Anolis sagrei: one gene and its partner. The protein of the gene in region 1 interacts with the protein of each later gene in a pairwise test. Links are inferred from orthologs where the notes say so. Each region holds a gene or a part of one and is shown in the gene's direction. Other genes may lie near its edges.

The links.
Region 2: the proteins of ARHGEF2 (region 1) and RPP25L interact in binary tests that used the Homo sapiens proteins (3 or more experiments, as listed by UniProt). The two-hybrid records come from large-scale screens. The link is inferred for Anolis sagrei from reciprocal best matches to the Homo sapiens genes ARHGEF2 and RPP25L.

What each region holds. Positions count from the first base shown.
Region 1 is NC_090032.1:20,909,122-20,919,273, reverse strand, and holds the start of ARHGEF2 (rho guanine nucleotide exchange factor 2), read left to right. Parts: upstream 1-6,052; 5' UTR 6,053-6,119; coding exon 6,120-6,262; intron 6,263-10,152. UniProt on the Homo sapiens protein: Activates Rho-GTPases by promoting the exchange of GDP for GTP.
Region 2 is NC_090022.1:300,713,424-300,723,780, forward strand, and holds the start of RPP25L (ribonuclease P protein subunit p25-like protein), read left to right. Parts: upstream 1-5,929; 5' UTR 5,930-6,011; intron 6,012-8,473; 5' UTR 8,474-8,481; coding exon 8,482-9,039; 3' UTR 9,040-10,357. UniProt on the Homo sapiens protein: May be a component of ribonuclease P or MRP.

The sequences.
Region 1 (10,152 bases):
GGGAGTTGTAGTTTGGCACATACAGTCTTAAAGCATTGAGCCATAGCCTGTCAAGTGGTTGGGATCCTGAGAGTTGTAGTTTGGCGGGTACAGTCTCAAAGCATTGAGCAGTGGCACGTCAAGTGATGCTTTGGGATCCTGGGAGTTGTAGTTTGGTGAGTACAGTCTCAAAGCAATGAGCCGTGGCACATCAAGTGATGCTTTGGGATCCTGGGAGTTGTAGTTTGGCAAGTGCGGTCTCAAAGCATTGAGCCATAGCCTGTCAAGTGGTGCTTTGGGATCCTGGGAGTTGTAGTTTGGTGAGTACAGTCTCAAAGCATTGAACCATTGCCTGTCAAGTGATGCTTTGGAATCCTGGGAGTTGTAGTCTGGTGAGTACAGTTTCAAAGCATCATCAAGCAATGCTTTGGGATCTTGGGAGTTGTAGTTTGGCGAGTACGGTCTCAAAGCATTGAACCATTGCCTGTCAAGTGATGCTTTGGGATCCTGGGAGTTGTAGTTTGGAAAGTACGGTCTCAAAGCATTGAGCCGTGGCATATCAAGTGATGCTTTGGGATCCTAGGAGTTGTAGTTTGGTGAGTACAGTCTCAAAGCAATGAGCCGTGGCACATCAAGTGATGCTTTGGGATCCTGGGAGTTGTAGTTTGGCGAGTACGGTCTCAAAGCATTGAACCATGGCCCGTCAATGCCCGTACTTTGCCAAACTACAACTCCCAGGATCCCAAAGCATCGCTTGACGTGCCACGGCTCAATGCTTGGAGACCGTACTCGCCAAACTACAACTCCCAAGATCCCAAAGCATTGAGCCGTGGCACGTCAAGTGATGCTTTGGGATCCTGGGAGTTGTAGTTTGGTGAGTACAGTCTCAAAGCATTGAGCCATGGCATATCAAGCGATGCTTTGGGATCCTGGCAGTTGCAGTTTGGTGAGTACAGTCTCAAGGCATTGAGCCGTGGCATATCAAGTGATGCTTTGGGATCCTGGGAGTTGTAGTTTGGTGAGTATGGTCTCAAAGCATTGAACCATGGCCTGTCAATGCCCATACTTGCCAAACTACAACTCCCAGGATCCCAAAGCATCGCTTGACGTGCCATGGCTCAATGCTTGGAGACCGTACTTGCCAAACTACAACTCCCAAGATCCCAAAGCATTGAGCCGTGGCACGTCAAGTGATGCTTTGGGATCCTGGGAGTTGTAGTTTGGCGAGCATGGCCTCAAAGCATTGAGCCGTGGCCTGTCAAGTGATGCTTTGGGATCCTGGGAGTTGCAGTTTGGCGAGTACGGTCTCAAAGCACCATCAAGCGATGCTTTGGGATCCTGGGAGTTGTAGTGTGGCGAGTACAGTCTCAAAGCATTGACCCCTAGCATGTCAAGCAATTCTTTGGGATCCTGGGAGTTGTAATTTGGTGAGTACGGTCTCAAAGCATTGAGCCGTGGCATGTCAAGCGATGCTTTGGAATCCTGGGAGTTGCAGTTTGGCAAGTACAAGCAACAACTCCTAGGATCGCAAAGTATTGCTTGATGTGCCACGGCTCAATGCTTTGGGATCCTGGGAATTGTAGTTTGGCGAGTACGGTCTCAAAACATCATCAAGCGATGCTTTGGGATCCTGGGAGTTATAGTTTGGCAAGTACGGTCTCAAAGCATTGAGCAGTGGCACGCCAAGCGATGCTTTGGGATCCTGGGAATTGTAGTTTGGCGAGTACGGTCTCAAAGCATTGAGCCATGGCCTGTCAAGTGATGCTTTGGGATCCTGGGATTTGCAGTTTGGCAAGTATAGTCTCAAAGTATCATCAAGCGATGCTTTGGGATCCTGGGAGTTGTAGTTTGGTGAGTACGGTCTCAAAGCATTGAGCCGTGGCACATCAAGTGATGCTTTGGGATCCTGGGAGTTGTAGTTTAACAAGTACAGGCAAGTACAGCCTTTGAGACCGTACTTGCCAAACTACAACTCCCAGGATCCCAAAGCATCACTTGACGTGCCACAGCTCAATGCTTTGGGATCCTGGGAGTTGTAGTTTGGTGAGGACGGTCTCCAAGCATTGAGCCATGGCACGTCAAGCGATGCTTTGGGATCCTGGGAGTTGTAGTTTGGCAAGTACGGGCATTGAAATCTTGGAAACGGGGAGAAATGTTGTTATCATTCATCTTTATTGCTATTTTCTATTGCTTTTGCTGGATTTGACCCCACTGGTTCCATGCTCTGGCATCCTGGGAGTTGTCGTTTGGCCGAAGACCTTGCAAAACTACAATTTCCCAGGCTTGGCGGCCGGTTCGGGTCACCTTTGCCCGCGTTCCCTTCCTCGGCTGGGTGGGACCGGGCTTTGCGCTGTTGTGTACACTTTCCCAAGGTTCCCATAGAAGCGTTTCCTCCCAAATCTGAGATCATTCCTCTTCTCCGAGCCTGACCTCATCCCAGATTGTTTCCTCTCTCTCTCTCGCTCTATTTTTGAATCAATCCTGAGAGTTGTAGTTTTATAAGGTCAGGAGAGTTGTAGTTTTATAAGGTCACTCTATTTGTTTACTACTTTGGTTACCCGGAGTTGCCCAGGCTATTTGAAAAAAAAAGTTAGTATATTAATTGTACCAAGTACATAAGGGTTTGTGGGTGAACTACAACTCCCATTATGCCAAGTTCACCCCCAAAAAACTCCTGTCATTTTGCTCCTGTTCTGAATCATCATGTAAATATCAGATATGCAGGATGTATTTTCATTCTTGGCACGGATACTCAATATGCCCAAATGTGGTGGAGTTTGGGGCTACGAGACCTTGAGTTTGGGAGTTGTAGTTCACCTACATCCAGAGAACACTGTGGACTCAAACAATGATGGATCTGGACCAGACTTGGCAAGGATACTCAATATGCCCAAATGTGAACACTGGTGGAGTTTGGGGCAATTAGACCTTGACATTTGGGAGTTGTAGTTGCTGGGATTTATAGTTCACCTAGAATCAAAGAGCATTCTGAACTCCACCAACAATGGAATTGAACCAAACTTGGCACACAAAACTCTCATCACCAGCAGACAATACTGGGAGAGTTTGGTAGGCATTGACCTTGGGTTTGGGAGTTGTAGTTCACCTACATCCAGAGACTCAAACAGTGACGGATCTGGACCAAACATGGCTCGGACACTCAATATGCCCAAATGTGAACACTGGTGGAGTTTGGAGAAAATAGACCTTGACATTTGGGAGTTGTACTTGCTGGGATTTATAGTTCACCTACAATCAAAGAGCATTCTGAACTCCACTGATAATGGAATTGAACCAAACTTGGCAGACAGAACTCCTATGACCAAGAGGAAACACTAGATGGGTTTGATGGGCATTGACCTTGAGTTTTGGAGTTGTAGTTCACTTACATCCAGAGAGCACTGTGGACTCAAACAATGATGGATCTGGACCAAACTTGGCATGGACACTCAATATTCCCAAATGTGAACACTGGTGGAGTTTGGAGAAAATAGACCTTGTCATTTGGGAGTTGTAGTTGCTGGGATTTCTAGTTTACCTACAATCAAGGAGCATTCTGAACTCCACCAACGATGGAATTGAACCAAACTTGGCACACAGAATTCCCACGACGAACAGAAAATACTGGGAGGGTTTGGTGGGCATTGACCTTGAGTTTGGGAGTTGTAGTTCACCTACATCCAGAGAGCACTGTGGACTCAAACAATGATGGATCTGGACCAAACTTGGCATGAATACTCAATATGCCCAAATGTGAACACTGGTGGAGTTTGGGGGAAATAGACCTTGACATTTGGGAGTTGTAGTTGCTGGGATTTATAGTTCACCTACAATCAAAGAGAGCACAGTGGAGCTGCTTTATTATGAGCATATTCCCAGTGAGTATCCTGTCTGCCTGGCCGGGCTCCATTGGTTCTTCTCTCCCTTTGGAAAGTTGGCTGTGCTGATTCTGCAAAAGATAAGCGGAGAGAAAGGAGGAAAGCACCAAAGGGAACATTGGGAGGAGTGAGTGGTGGAAAACCCAAACAGGATAGGAGCAAAGTCACGCCAGCGCTTCCCTTTCCTATCTTTTGGAAAGAGAAGCAAGGAAGGCTTGCAGAAGAGACGAGAGCGAAGAGCAGGTGAACCAAGCTGGGCAAGGCAAGGATTGGACCCGGAATCAAGGAGACCGGGATTTGAATGGGTCTCACTCCAGATTTATTCCAAACCCTATGGACTTGGAGTTGTTTAGTGTTATGTTGTTAGGACAACCTCGGTTGCCCGAGGGGCAGAAATTTTAATAGTGATATGTGTGGTGATATTTATGTTTATTTTTATATATATTTATATTTATTTATTTATTGTTTATTGTTTTGTATATATTTATATTTTTGTTTATATATATATATATATATATATATATATATATATATAATTTTTATATTTTTTGTATTTTTATATTTTTATTTATATATTTATATATAAATACATTTATTTATATTTTTAAATTTTATTTATAATTTTTTCTATTTTTTCTATTTTTCTATTTTTCTTTTTATATTTATATATATATTATTTTTATATTTTTTGTATTTTTATATTTTTATTTTTATATATATTTATTTATATTTTATATTTTTATATTTTTATTTTATTTATATATTCATATATAAATATTTTTATTCATATTTTAAAATTTTATTTATAATTTTTTCTATTTTTTCTGTTTTTTCTATTTTTCTATTTTCTATTTATATATATATATATATAACTTTTATATTTTTGTATTTTTATATTTTTATTTATATATATATTTATTTATATATTTATATTTTTATATTTATTTATATATTTATATATAAATATTTTTATTTATATTTTAAAATTTTATTTATAATTTTTTCTGTTTTTTCTGTTTTTCTATTTTTCTATTTTCTATTTATATTTTTTCTATTTATATTTTTCTATTATATATATTATATTTTATACATTTATTTATATTTTTCTATTTTCATATTTTTATTTATATATATTTATATATATTTATTTTTTATTATATTATTCTATTTTTTCTGTTTTTATTGTTATATTTTTTATATTTTTATATATATATTTATTTGTATTATACATTTTATATATTTATTTCTATTTTTCTATTTTTCTATATATATATATATATATATATATGTATATGTATATGTATATATATATGTATATATAGGTATTTTATAAATATATTTATTTATATATTATATTTTTATATATTTATTTCTATTTTTCTATTTTTATTTATATATTTATATTTTTATATTTTAATTATATTTTCCTATTTTTATATTTTTATTTTTATTTTTTATATTTATATATTTTTAGTTTAGATATATAATATTTTTATATATTTATTTATATTTTTCTATTTTCTATTTTTATTTATATATTTCTTTTTTTTAATTTTTTTATATTTATATTTTCTATTTTCTATTTTTATTTATATATTTCTTTTTTTTAATTTTTTTATATTTATATTTTCTATTTTCTATTTTTCTATTTTATTTATATTTTTCTATTTTTCTATTTTTATTTATATATTTATATATATTTATATATTTATATATTATTTATATTTTTCTTTTATTCTATTTTTCTATTCTTTATTTTTCTTTTTTTACATTTACATTTCTATGTTTCTATATTTCCATATTTTATATTTATTTATTTATATTTTATATTTTTATATATTTTATATTTTTTATTTTTATATATTTTTATATTTTTATTTATATATTCATATTTATTTGTGCTGGAGGATCTAGATGCATTTCGTCAGAGGTCGATGCACACTCCACTTGCTTCACAGCCAACGAAAGCTCTGCATATGCCAGCCACAGATGCAGGCGAAACGTCAGGAGAGAATGCATCAGGAGCATGGCCATACAGCCTGAAAAACTCACAACAACCCAGAACTAGAGATCCCTAAACAGCAAACCTTGCTAGGCATTAGCTGTGCTGGGAGACCTAGTGCACCCATTGATTTCCCCTTCTTCTCTTTCCAGCCTTCGGATGCTCCGCGAGGAATGAGTGGAGTCCCGGTCTCCCCGCTGGTCCTGAAGCAGCGCAGCCTCTCTGCGGTGGAGCCATGCGCCGTGGAGCCAGAAGAGGAGATGGGGGACGATGTGCAGTTTTTGGGGGTGCCAATGCGCTTGAGGGGCTGCGCCACCCCCTACGACGCTTTCCGACGGCACAGCTGGGAACCGGGCAAAGTGCTGGACGAGGATGACGACGACCCAGAATTCAATCAGAGAAGGTAAATCATTGCAACATGGATGTGGTTGTGGTAGGGCAGGACAGGTAGACTTGGACATGTGTGCCAAGTTTGGTCTTGGTCTGTCATTGGTGAGGGTCGCAGTGGTCTCAGGAAGTGAGTGAAGGGACCAAGTCCCATTGTCCATGTTCCATCCTTCTCCAGACTGCACCAAGATGTTGAGTGGGCACCTCAGCAAGCAAGAGTCCAAAAGTGGCAGGCTCAAACCCGGAATCTCTTGGAGTCAGCTAAACTGTATAATTTCTCCAGCGGTGTAGAGTGCAGTCATTGGTGAGGGTTGCAGCGATCGCAGTAAGTGAGTGAAGGAACTGCAAGTCCCATCGTCCATGTTCCATCGTTCTCCAAACCGCACCAGGATGTAGAGTTGGTCATGGGGGCTCTGTGTGCCAAGTTTGGTCTTGGTCAGTCATTGCTGAGGGTCACAGCGGTCGCAGGAAGTGAGTGAAGGTACTGCAAGTCCCATCGTCCATGTTCCATCATTCTCCAAAACACACCAGGATGTAGAGTTGGTCATGGAGGGGTCTGTTCTTGATCAGTCATTGGTGAGGGTTGCAGCAGTCTCAGGAAGTGAGTGAAGGTACTGCAAGTCCCATCGTCCATGTTCCATCGTCCTTCAAACCACCTCTGGATGTAGAGTTGGACATGAGGGGTCTGTGTGCCAAGTTTGGTCTTGGTCAGTCATTGGTGAGGGTCGCAGTGGTCGCAGGAAGTGAGTGAAGGTACTGTAAGTCCCATCGTCCATAGTCCATCGTCCTCCAAGCCACATCTGGATGTAGAGTTGGACATGAGGGGTCTGTGTGCCAAGTTTGGTCTTGGTCCGTCATTGGTGAGGGTCGCAGCGATCGCAGGAAGTGAGTGAAAGTACTGCAAGTCCCGTCGTCCATGTTCTATCATCCTCCAAACCACATCTGGATGTAGAGTTGGACATGGGGGGGGGGTCTGTGTGCCAAGTTTGGTCTTGGTCAGTCATTCGTGAGGGTCGCAGTGGTCTCAGAAAGTGAATGAAGGTACTGCAAGTCCCATCGTCCATGTTCCATCGTTCTCCAAACCGCACCAGGATGTAGAGTTGGTCATGGAGGGGTCTGTGTGCCAAGTTTGGTCTTTATCGGTCATTGGATTAGGGTTGCAGTTCATGGGCCTCTGTGTGCCAAGTTTGGTCTTTATCGGTCATTGGTGAGGGTCGCAGTGGTCGCAGGAAGTGAGTGAAGGAACTGCAAGTCCCATCATCCATGTTCCATCGTCCTTCAAACCACATCTGGATGTAGAGTTGGACATGGGGGGGTCTGTGTGCCAAGTTTGGTCTTGGTCAGTCATTGCTGAGGGTCACAGCGGTCGCAGGAAGTGAGTGAAGGTACTGCAAGTCCCATCGTCCATGTTCGATCGTCCTCCAAACCACACCTGGATGTAGAGTTGGACATGAGAGGTCTGTGTGCCAAGTTTGGTCTTGGTCCGTCATTGGTGAGAGTCGCAGTGGTCGCAGGAAGTGAGTGATGGAACTGGAAGTCCCATCATCCATGTTCCATTGTCCTTGAAACCGCACCATGATGTACAGTTGGTCATGGAGGGTCCTGTGTGCCAAGTTTGGTCTTGGTCCGTCATTAGTGAGGGTCGCAGTGGTCGCAGGAAGTGAGTGAAGGAACTGCAAGTCCCATCATCCATGTTCCATTGTCCTCCAAACCACACCAGGATGTAGAGTTGGTCGTGAGGGGTCTGTGTGCCAAGTTTGGTCTTGGTCCGTCATTGGTGAGGGTCGCAGCGGTCTCAGGAAGTGAGTGAAGGAACTGCAAGTCCCATCGTCCATGTTCCATCCTTCTCCAGACTGCACCGAGATGTTGAGTGGGTCATGGGGGCTCTGTGTGCCAACCTGTGATTTGTGGGGGCCACCGTGTTCTGTGGGAAGTGAACCGGGTGAAGGTACTACAAATCCCATCATCCACGGTCCATCCTCTCCCAGAGCGCAGTCTATTCAGCGCCTTCCAAGTCACCTCGTCTTCAATGTGCCCAGGAGGGAGTCTCTCATCTGGTCTCAGCGACTGATTGAGCTTCCGAGTTTCAGGCTGCCGCTTTTGGACTCTTGCTTGCACCTCAGCAAGCAAGAGTCCAAAAGTGGCAGGCTCAAACCCGGAACCTCCTGGAGTCAGCTAAACTGTATAATTTCTCCAGCGGTGTAGCGCTCTAATAGAGCTTCTCTCTATTAGAGCGACAACAAATACATATAAAACAGCGTAGTGGATACAGTTATCCTTCTGTATCCATAGAATTATATAGATTTTTTAAGAAATTGCAATTATGTACAGGCTGCATTAGATACAATATATATTTATAATTAAATACAATGACAGGCGCTGTCTTCATAGACTTGCCAGCTACTTGTGATACTATAAATCATTGCCTCCTCCTGAGAAAAACTTATAGTATCACAAAGGGAATCATAGGAAATCTGCTACAAAACAGGAGCTTTTTTGTTGAGTTCCATCCATCGTTGAGTTCCATCGCAGATGGCGAAAACAGAAGAACTGCCTGCTTTAGGGGAGCGTGCTTGCTCCATCAACGTTTATGATCTACACAAATGACCAGCCACTGCCAGAAGGGACAGAGAGTTTTCATCTATGCTGATGACGCCGCCATCACCGCTCAAGCAGAGAGCTTTGTAATGGCTGAAGAGAAGCTCTCCGAAGCTTTTAGTCAATGTTTCTCAACCTTTCCAATGCCTCTTAATACCGTTCCTCGTGTTTAACATGTACACAAATGACCAGCCACTGCCAGAAGGGACAGAGAGTTTAATATATGCTGACGATCTTGCCATCACCACCCAAGCTGAGAGCTTTGTAATGGCTGAACAGAAGCTCCCCAAAGCTTTAGGTCAGTGTTTCTCAATCTTCCTAATGCCTCTTAATACAGTTCCTCATGTTTAACATTGACACAAATGACCAGCCACTGCCAGAAGACACACAGAGTTTCATCTATGCTGATGACAGTGCCATCAACGCTCAAGCAGAGACCTTTGTAATGGTTCAACAGAAGCTCTCCAAAGCTTTAGATCAGTGTTTCTCAACCTTCCTAATGGCTCTTAATACAGTTCCTCATGTTTAACGTTTACACAAATGACCAGCCACTGCCAGAAGGGACAGAGAGTTCCATATATGCAGATGACGGTGTCATCACCGCTCAAACAGGGAGTTTTGAAATGGCTGAAGAGAAGCTCTCCGAAGCTTTTAGTCAATGTTTCTCAACCTTCCCAATGCCTCTTAATACCATTCCTCGTGTTTAACATGTACACAAATGACCAGCCACTGCCAGAAGGGATAGAGAGTTTTCATCTATGCTGATGACGCCGCCATCACTGCTCAAGCAGGGAGCTTTGAAATGGCTGAACAGAAGCTCTCCAAAGCTTTAGGTCAGTGTTTCTCAATTTTCCTAATGCCTCTTAATACAGTTCCTCGTGTTTAACATTGACACAAATGACCAACCACTGCCAGAAGGGACAGAGAGTTTTCATATATGCTGACGACAGTGCCATCACTGCCCAAACAGGGAGCTTTGAAATGGTTCAACAGAAGCTCTCCAAAGCTTTAGGTGCTCTTACTGCCTATTACAGGGAAAACCAGCTTGCTCCATCCATGTTAAACATTGACACAAATGACCAGAAGGGACAGAGAGTTTAATATACGCTGACGATCATGCCATCAACGCTCAATCAGGGAGCTTTGAAATGGTTCAACAGAAGCTCTCTGAAGCTTTAGTTGGTCTTACTGCCTATTACAGGGAAAACCAGCTTGTTTAATATTTATACAAATGACTTAGAAGGGACAGAGAGTTTAATATATGCTGACGATCATACCATCAACGCTCAAGCAGAGAGCTTTGAAATA
Region 2 (10,357 bases), on another chromosome or scaffold:
CATTCCTTCTACTTTGTAGACGCACCCCATGACTCTCAATAGCATCGGGCAATGCTGTGAAAAGTTACTTTTTGGACTACTGCGCCCCCATTGTTTAGATTGTTTAGAAGTTCTTCCTAATTTTCATCTGGAATCTCCTTTTGGACCCTTGCATTCTTTTCTACCTCTTTCCTTCTTAGACTGAGCATGCGATCCCTGAACCGGATCACAAAGACGAGGCTCCAGGCAGCTATTTCGGCACGTCCTGAAATGACAGTGGTTTCCTACTATTCGCCCTCCTACCTGGCCTTCCCAGGTGATGAAGGATCATGGGGCATGTTTCCACGTTCCCAACAATTTTGACACTGAAGCTGGTGAAGGAGGGAACGATTGCAAGGCGCACTTCAAGGAGATTGGTTTGGCACATCACAATGGTTCTGCCCATTCCCCTAAAAGACCGTAAGGGTTACGTCTTCTTTTAGGACTGTTTCCAGAGGAAGGAGACTCAAAGGACCAAGGGTCTGGAGAACAAGCCCTATGAGGAGCGGCTTAAAGAGTTGGGCATGTTTAGCCTGAAGAAGAGAAGGTTGAGAAGGAGACAAATGCTAATCAACGTGGTCAGTTGAAACATTCACACCTAGCTCCAACAGACAAGAGTCCTTTGTCCCACCCTGGTCATTCCACAAATATATAAACCCAATTTTTCCTACTTCCAAAAGATCTCACTACCTCTGAGGATGCTTGCCATAGATGCAGGCGAAACATCAGGTGGGAATGCCTCTAGAACATGGCCATATAGCCTGAAAAATCTACAACAACCCAAGGCAAAAATGGTTCATTACATACATATAAAAATTCTGGTGATTTGGCCTAATGCTGAATTTTGCTGCAGGAAAAATGCTGCAGATTGACCAAGTATTGGGGCAATGTGGACAATGTCTGGACAATGTGGACAATATCTGGACAATGTGGCCGGTCCACTGGAGTTGATACTTTTCTATTGTTTCAGGAGTTCCCAACAACTAAGAGAGGAATAGACTTCCAAGTCCCATATTTCTTTGATTATTGTTTTTGGCCTTGAAAGCTTTTGCTGGATTCTTAAAATCTTGGAATTATAAATATTCTAATATAATTATAAAATTATAGGTGATCCCTTGTAGTCTGAGGATGATGGTCCTCCAAATGTAGTATCCTGGTGGTGGGTTCGTAGGTGACTGTGGAGCCCTATTCTTGACCTGCATCTTCTCCCACAGTGAGGGCATTGGTTTCCAGGTGGAAAGCGGTCCTGGTCGGGGTTGGCTTGACGCGCCTTCCTCTTGGTACATTTCTCTCTTTCGCCCTCCATTCGTGCCTGTTCAAATTCTGCAGCACTGCTGGTCACAGCTGACCTCCAGCTGCAGCACTCAAGGGCAAGGGCTTCCCAGTTCTCAGTGTCTGTGCCAGAAGAAATTTTTTAAGGTTGTCTTTGAGCCCATCTTTCAATCTCTTTTCCAACATTCCGTTTTCTGTTCTTGAGTTCGAAGTAGAGCAACTGCTTTGGGAGACGGTGGTCAGGCATCTGGACAATGTGGCCGGTCCACTGGAGTTGATGGCGGAGGACCATGGCTTCAATGCTGGTGATCTTTGCTTCTTCCAGCATGCTGACATTTGTCCGCTTGTCTTCCCAAGAGATTTGCAGGATTTTCTGGAGGCAGCACTGATGGAGTTGCATGTGACGTCTGTAGACAGTCCAGGTTTCGCAGGCGTATAGCAGGGTTGGGAGGACAATAGCTTTATAAAGAAGCACCTTGGTCTCCCTATGGATGTCCCGGTCCTCAAACACTCTCTGCTTCAGAACACTCTCTGAACAAAATCTGACTACCAGTATTAAAAACCTCTAAAATTAGAACAGCACAACAACAGGGAGGAAACAAACAAGGACATCTAATCACCTCTCAACAAAAGATGGTTCCAGGCACTGCCAGGCAATTGAATGCTAATCAAGGTGGTCAGTTGAAACATTCACACCTAGCTCCAGCAGACAAGAGTCCTTTGCCCCACCCTGGTCATTCCACAGATATATAAACCCTTTTTCCTAGTTCCAACAGACCTCACTACCTCTGAGGATGCTTGCCATAGATGCAGGCGAAACGTCAGGAGAAATGCCTCTAGAACATGGCCATATAGCCTGGAAAAACCTACAACAATCCACTCTCTGCTTCATTCAGAAAATAGCTGCACTCGCAGAGCTCAGGCGGTGTTGTATTTCAGTGTCAATGTTGACTTGGGTGGAGAGGTGGCAGCCAAGGGAGCAGAAATGATCAACATTTTCCAGTGTTTCACCATGTTCAGGAGGCAGCAAAGTATTATTATTATTGTTGTTGCTATTATTAATGATGATGCTGGAAAAGCACCATCAAAGCCCTCCCGACAGATGGCAATCCAGCCCCTGTATATCTGGCATTGGAGAGGAATTGGCTGGTGCCTTTTGTTGAAACAGCACATTGGTTTTCTCGATGTTCAATGACAGACCGAGCTTCTCGTATGCTTCTGCGAAGGTGTTGAGAGTGGCTTGTAGGTCTTCTTCTGAATGCGCACAGACAACGTTGTCATCAGCATACTGGAGTTCTATAACACATGTTGTAACCTTGGTTTTGGCTTTCAGTTGGCTGAGGTTGAATAGCTGTCCGAGAGATGATTTCCACTCTGTTGGGAAGCTTCCCATCAACAAGATGACGTATCATAGTGATGAAAATGAGTATGAACGCATAAGGAAAAATGCAAAAGCAAAGTCCCAAGACTTAATATAATGTCCAAATACGTAATATAGACATAATAATGCTAAAATAAATAATGTAATGTAAACAAACATAGATATAAATAATCTAAATAAATAAAAATATAATGGACGAATTGATACCAAATTTGGACACAATACACCTAACAACCCAATGTATGTTCTTCACTCAAAAACATGATTTTGTCATTTGGGAGTTGTAGTTGCTGGGATTTATAGTTCACCTACAATCAAAGAGCATTCTGAACATCACCAACGATGGAATTGAACCAAACTTGGGACACAGTTCTCCCATGACCACCAGAAAATACTGGAAGGGTTTGGTGGGCAGTGTCCTTTGGTTTTGGAGTTGTAGTTCACCTACATCCAGAGATCACTGTAAACTCAAGCAATGATGGATCTGGACCAAACTCTACACGAATACTCAACATGCCGAAATGTGAACACTGGTGGAGTTTGAGGAAAATAGAATCTTGACATTTGGGAGTCGTAGTTGCTGGGATTTATAGTTCACCTACAATCACAGAGCATTCTGAACACCACCAACGATAGAATTGGGCCAAACCTCCCACACAGAACCCTCATGTGGGACACAGAAACGCGTGGCAGGGGACGGCTAGTGCATTATAAAATATAGTTGAAATAATATAAAATAAACACTTAATTATAATTCATCTAGTTATAAAATCTAAAAGAAGTAATGAGTCTGAATGCATAAGGAAAAAATGCACAAGAAAAGCCTCAAAACTTAATATAATTGCAAAAGAAATAATATAAACAGAAAAGATGTGATATAAATATAAACAATACGGTACCGTTCCATTATATAATATAATACATGATAAAATCTAATGGAAATAATGTAAAATAAACAATTATAAGTAGTATAATTATAAAATCTATTTGAATCATAATAATTTGTAATTACTCGTTTGTTTTACATTAATAATTAACACAGCACTAAGAGATGTAATATAAATAATATATTCTATATAAATAAAAATGTAATGTTCGTTTGTGGGATTAACATAACTCAAAAATCACTGGACGAATTGCCAAATTTGGACACAAGACACCTAACAACCCAGTTTATGTCCTTCACTCATAAAAACACTGAAAAACACAGCAGAAGGGACTTTAAAAGCCAAAAAACAAAAACAAAAAATATAACGCACACACAAAACCATATATACACACACACAAACACACATATATGCATATACACACACAAAACACATACACAGAAAGGAGGAAAGGAGGAGAGCAGAAGGGAGAGACGGAAGGAAAGGAGGAGGGGAGGAGACAACGAAGGAAAGAAAGAAGGGTAGAGAAGGAATGAGGGAAAGAAAAAGGGAAGGAGAGAAGGAAGGAAAGAAGGAAGAGTAGAGAAGGAAGGAAGGAGAGAAAGAAGGAGGGGAGGGGAGAAGTAAGGAAGGAAAAAAAGGATAGAGAAGAAATGAAGGAGAGAAGGAGGGAGAGAAAGAGGGAAGGAGAGAAGGAAGGGTAGCGAAGGAAGGAAGGAGAGAAGGAGGGAAAGAAGGAAGGGTAGAGAAGGAAGGAAGGAGAGAAGGAGGGAAAGGAGGAAGTGAAGGAGAGAAGGAAGGAAAGAAGGAAGGGTAGAGAAGGAAGGAAGGAGAGAGAGGAAGGAGAGAAGGAAGGAAAGAAGGAAGGGTAGGGAAGGAAGGAAGGAGAGGAGGGAAAGAAGGAAGGGAGGAGATAAGGAAAGAAGGAAGAGTAGGGAAGGAAGGAGGGAGGGAGGGAGAGAAAGGGAAGGAGAGAAGGGAGGAGAGAAGGGAGGAGATAAAGAAGGAAAGAAAGAAGGGTAGAGAAGGAAGGAGGGAGAGAAAGAGGGAAGGAGAGAAGGAAGGAAAGAAGATAGGGTAGAGAAGGAAGGAAGGAGAGGAGGGAAAGAAGGAAGGGAGGAGATAAGGAAAGAAGGAAGAGTAGGGAAGGAAGGAGGGAGGGAGGGAGAGAAAGGGAAGGAGAGAAGGAAGGAGAAAAGGGAGGAGATAAAGAAGGAAAGAAAGAAGGGTAGAGAAGGAAGGAGGGAGAGAAAGAGGGAAGGAGAGAAGGAAGGAAAGAAGGAAGGGTAGAGAAGGAAGGAAGAAGAGAAGGAGGGAAAGAAGGGAGGAAGGAGATAAAGAAGGAAAGAAGGAAGGGTAGAGAAGGAAGGAGGGAGAGAAAAAGGGAAGGAGAGAAGGAAGGAAAGAAGGAAGGGTAGAGAAGAAAGGAAGGAGAGAGAGAAAGAAGAAGGAGAGAAGGAAGGAAAGAAGGAAGGAAGAAGAGAAGGAGGGAAAGAAGGAAGAGAGGAGATAAAGAAGGAAAGAAAGAAGGGCAGAGAAGGAAGGAAGGAGAGAAGGAGGGAAGGAAGAGAGGAGATAAAGAAGGAAAGAAAGAAGGGCAGAGAAGGAAGGAAGGAGAGAAGGAGGGAGAAAAAAGAGGGAAAGGAGGGAAGGGGAGAAGGAAAGAAAGAAAGGTAGAGAAGGAAGGAAGGGAGAGAAAGAGGGAAAGAAGGAGGGAAGGAGAGAAAGAAGGAAGAAAGGAGAGAAGGAGGGAATGAAATAAAAAAGTGAAAGAGGGAAGGAAGGAGAGAAGGAATAAAAGAGAGAAAGAAGGAAGGAAGGAAGGAAGGAGAGAAAGAAGGAGGGAAGAAGAGAAAGAAGGAAGGAAGGAGAGAAAGAGAGAATGAAATAAAAAAATGAAAGAGGGGAGGAAGGAGAGAAGGAATAAAAGAGAGAAAGGGGAAGGGAAGGAAGGAAAGAGAGAAGGATGGAACCAAAGAGCAAAGGAAGCGAGGAAAGAAACAGCTAGAGAAGGAAGAAAGAAGAAGGGAAAGAAAAAGAGGGATGAAAGGAAGGAGAGAAAGAAAGGAGGAGAGAAAGAGGGAGGGAAGGTTGGCCATAGCAAGGCATGGCAGGTATAGCTAGTGTCTTATAAAATCCAACAGAAATCATCTGAAATTTAGAATTAGGATTTTGAATTAAATTTCCCAACACGCCCCCTGGAGGCCGGCTGAGCAATGTACTCCTTCAACCGAGGGGCGTGGTCTTGCTTGGCGGTTCGTCCAATGGGAAGGCGGGGGCGGGGTTTCGCTCCTCGCTCTGCGCGGGGAAACCTCTCTTCCTGGCTTCTCCTCTGCGTCATAAGGAGGCGCCTGTGACGCGCATGCGCGGAAGAGCAGCCGGCTCTGTAGGAAGCAGGAGAGGCGCCATTTTTCCCTGAGCGCCCTCTGAGCAGGAAAGCAGGCAGGCAGCAGGTGAGCGGGAGCGGAGTGGGGCCTACACCATACCGAGAGAACTTGTTGTTATATTATTACTGTTATGTTTATTATTACCGTATGTTTTTTCTTTCCACAGAAGAGACTTCAAGTCTATATATAATCATAGAATCATAGTCCAACCCCATTCTGCCAAGAAGCAGGAATATTGCATTCAAATCACCCCTGACAGATGGCCGTCCAGCCTCTGTTTAAAAGTCTCCAAAGAAGGAGCCTCCACCACCATATAATATAATATATAATAATATAATATTATTAATAATATTATGCGTTTTTCCACAAAGGAGGCTCCAAGAGAGATATTGACTCTAAGCTGGAATGTGCCCAGAGGAGGGCGACTCAAATGATCAAGGGTCTGCAGAACAAGCCCTATGAGGAGCGGCTTAAGGAGTTGGGCATGTTTAGCCTGAAGAAGAGAAGGCTGAGAGGAGATATGATGAGGGCCATGTATAAATATGTGAGAGGAAGCCACAGGGAGCAGGGAGCAGATCAAGGGTCTGGAGAAGAAGCCCTATGAGGAGCGGCTTAAGGAGCTGAGCATGTTTAGCTTGAAGAAGAGAAAGATGAGAGGAGACATGATGAGGGCCATGTATAAATATGTGAGAGGAAGCCACAGGGAGCAGATCAAGGGTCTGGAGAACAAACCCTATGAGGAGCGGCTTAAGGAGCTGAGCTGAGCATGTTTAGCTTGAAGAAGAGAAGGCTGAGAGGAGATATGGTCAGCGCCATGTATAAATATGTCAGAAGAAGCCACAGGGAGGAGGAGGGAGCAAGCTTCCTTTCTGCTTCCCTGGAGACTGGGACGCAATGGAACAATGGCTTCAAATTACAGGAAAGGAGATTCCATCTGAACGTGAGGAAGAACTTCCTGACTGTGAGAGCCGTTCAGCAGTGGAACTCTCTGCCCCGGAGTGTGGTGGAGGCTCCTTCTTTGGAAGCTTTTAAGCAGAGGCTGGATGGCCATCTGTCAGGGGTGATTTGAATGCAATATTCCTGCTTCTTGGCAGAATGGGGTTGGACTGGATGGCCCAGGAGGTCTCTTCCAACTCTTTGATTCTATGATTCTATGAAACCTATATAATATATAATAATAATTTATTAATAATAACATGTTTATGTTTTTTTCCACAAAGGAGGCGCCAAACCTATATATATATATATATATATATATATATGAAACATTATAAAACATAATAAACATTGTGTGTGTGTATATATATTTATATGTTGTTTATTATGTTTTATGACGATGATTATATTTATTTATTATGATTATTTTCCACAAAGGAAGCTCCAAACCTATATATATGAAACATCATAAAGCATAATAAACATTGTGTATATGTGTGTGTGTGTATATATGTTGTTTATTATGTTTTATGACGATGATGATGTTTGTTTATTATGCTTTTTCTTTCCACAAAGGAAATTCCAAGCCAGTTTATTTATTATTATTTTTCCCACAAAGGAGGGTCCAAACCTCTATCTATCTATCTATCTATCTATCTATCTATCTATCTATAATAAACACTATATATATATATATATATATATATTGTTTATTATGTTTTATTATGATGATTTATTATGTTTTATGATGTTTCATATATGTGTGTGTGTGTGTGTGAAACATCATAAAACATAATAAACATTGTGTGTGTGTGTGTGTGTATATATATATATATTGTAATGTTTATAACAATGATTATGTTTATTTATTATGCTTTTTCTTTCCATAAAGGAAATTCCAAGCCAGTTTATTAATTACTATTTTTCCTACCAAGGAGGTTCCAAACCTATATATATATATATATAGTTTATTATGTTTTATTATGATTTATTATGTTTCATATGTGTGTGTGTGTGTGTGTGTGTGTGTGAAACATCATAAAACATAATAAACATTGTATGTGTGTATATGTGAATGACTCGGGACTATGTCTGTTCTTGTTTTTATTGTATTTTAAAGTTAATTGTATTGTTTTAATCTACTGCTGTAAACCGCTCCGAGCCAAATTGGGAGTAGCGGTATACAAGTCAAATAAATAAATATCTCTGTGTGTATATATATTTATATATTGTTTATTATGTTTATGACAATGATTATGTTTATTTATTATGCTTTTTCTTTCCTTTGTGGAAAGTCAGGAGGTGCTGTGGTTTTTAGCTTTAAATATGTTTTAATGGATTTTAACTGCAATTTTGTTAGTACCGTTACGTTTAATTCTGTTTTAATATTTGTATATTTTAAATTATGTGTTCATACTTTTAATGTAAGCCGCTTTGAGTCTCCTTTGGTAGAGATAAAGGGAGGTATATATAAACAACAACAACAATAATATGTATATATGCAAAATTCATATTGCTTGTCCTAGCATTAGACACTAACATTCTGATTAGATGTTTAAGTTTTCTTTTTCTTCTCTTTGCTTGATATCAAGTGTTGATCATGGAGAACTATCAGAAATCCAAAACGGTGGAGAAGCCTTCTCCTCTTCCTTTCGCCAACTTGCCCCCTGATATCATTGAGATGAAAGTGAAGGATGGCAGCAAAATCCGGAACCTGATGGGTTACGCCATCGGCAAGATGGAGTCCGAGGCCATGAGGCAGGTCCTCTTCAGCGGGGTGGGCAAAGCGATTAGCAAGACGATCACCTGCGTGGAGATCATGAAGCGGAGGATGAAGCACCTCCACCAGATCACCAAAGTGTTCTTCAAGCAAATAGAGGAGATTTGGGAACCCATCGTTCCGGAGGTTGGCCTCGACCCTTTGACGGTGAAGCGGAACATCCCTGCCATTTGTGTCCTGCTAAGCAAAGACCCCCTGGACACTCAAGCGCCGGGGTATCAAGCCCCGGGGTCCTTCGATGCCTTCTGGTTGGAGACGCTCAAGTCGGAATCTCAAGGCCAGGCCAAGAGGAAGCAGGGAGGAGGAGGGAGAGGGGCTGGCCGGACTGGGAAGCATCCTCGCTCCCTCGGACGGGAGGACTCCTACAAGAAGCCTTGAGGAAGCTGAGCTTCCGAGTGCCAGGAATTGTCTCCAGAACCAAGAAAAGCCAGATAGCTTTCACCTTAATGTTGGAAACAGTGAGAGTGGGAAGTTACATCGAGGGAGTGGGGGGAAAAGGGCAGGTGTGTCTGTTTGAACGCAAATACCAAGTCATATTGGATGGATTGAACATGAAGGTGTTCTAGCTTTGAGCCTTTCCCTTACAGAGAGTTTTCAGTTTACGTTTAGAAGCAGTGAGAGATGGAAGATATATTGGATAGAAGGGTCTGTCTGAATGTAAACACTAAGTTGTATTGGATGGATTGAAGTGGAAAGCCTCCTAGCTTTGGGTTTTTACCTTATGGGGGAAGCCTTCTTTGTATTACATAAAGTCTGTTCAGGAAAGGGATACTTGGAATAGTCGTGGAAAGGAAATGCAAGATATTCCTCAGTGGGAAGATGTCCCTCTCTCGTACAAGGATGGCTGATGGAGTCAGTTTTCCCCCTCCTGTTATCTGGTTGTTTTCTTGCCGTTGCAAGAGTCTTGCACTTTGCAATTTTGGTCAGATTCCCATATTATGGGACAACTTACTGGACACCCACTCCCAAATCATGAATTGTTTTGCTGTTACTATGAAACTTTTGCTAACTCCTTACAGCTTCTGGGAAGCTCAGTACTTGAAATAAGAAACTTAAACCTTCCTGGTCATTCAAGAAAGGAGAATCAAATCTTGATTTAGCATAAAGATAGGAAGGTGCTTGTCAGTTTTGCTGGGTTTTACTTATGTGATTGTGCCAAGGATCTGTCTTTTCATAAGTTAAAAAGACTCTTAACTATCTCAGAATCTTGTAAGAACTACTGATTGTGGGATTTGAAATCTATATAAATAAAAATATAATGTTCGTTTGTGGGATTAACATAACTCAAAAATCACTGGATGCATTGACACCAAATTTGGACACAAGACATCTAACAGGCCAGTGATTGACCATCACTCATAACCTCCCCCACCCCACCCCAAAAAAGAGCGGAAAGGACTTAAAACACCAAAAAGCTAAATGATGAAAAGCTAAATGACTATACAGAAAAAAGGGAAGGAAGTAAAGAGGGGGGAAGGAAGGAGAGAAAGAAATAAAGAAAGAGAGGGGAAGGAAGGAAGGAGGTAGAGAAGGAAGAAAGAGAAAGTGGGATGGAAAGAAAAAGGAGGGAAGAAGGAAAGAAAGAAGGAGAGAAAGAGGGAAAGAGAAGGAAGGAAGGAGGTAGAGAAGAAAGCAGAGAGTGGGAGGGAAAGTAAAAGGGGGAGGAAGGAAAGAGGTGGAAAAGAAAGGAAGGAGA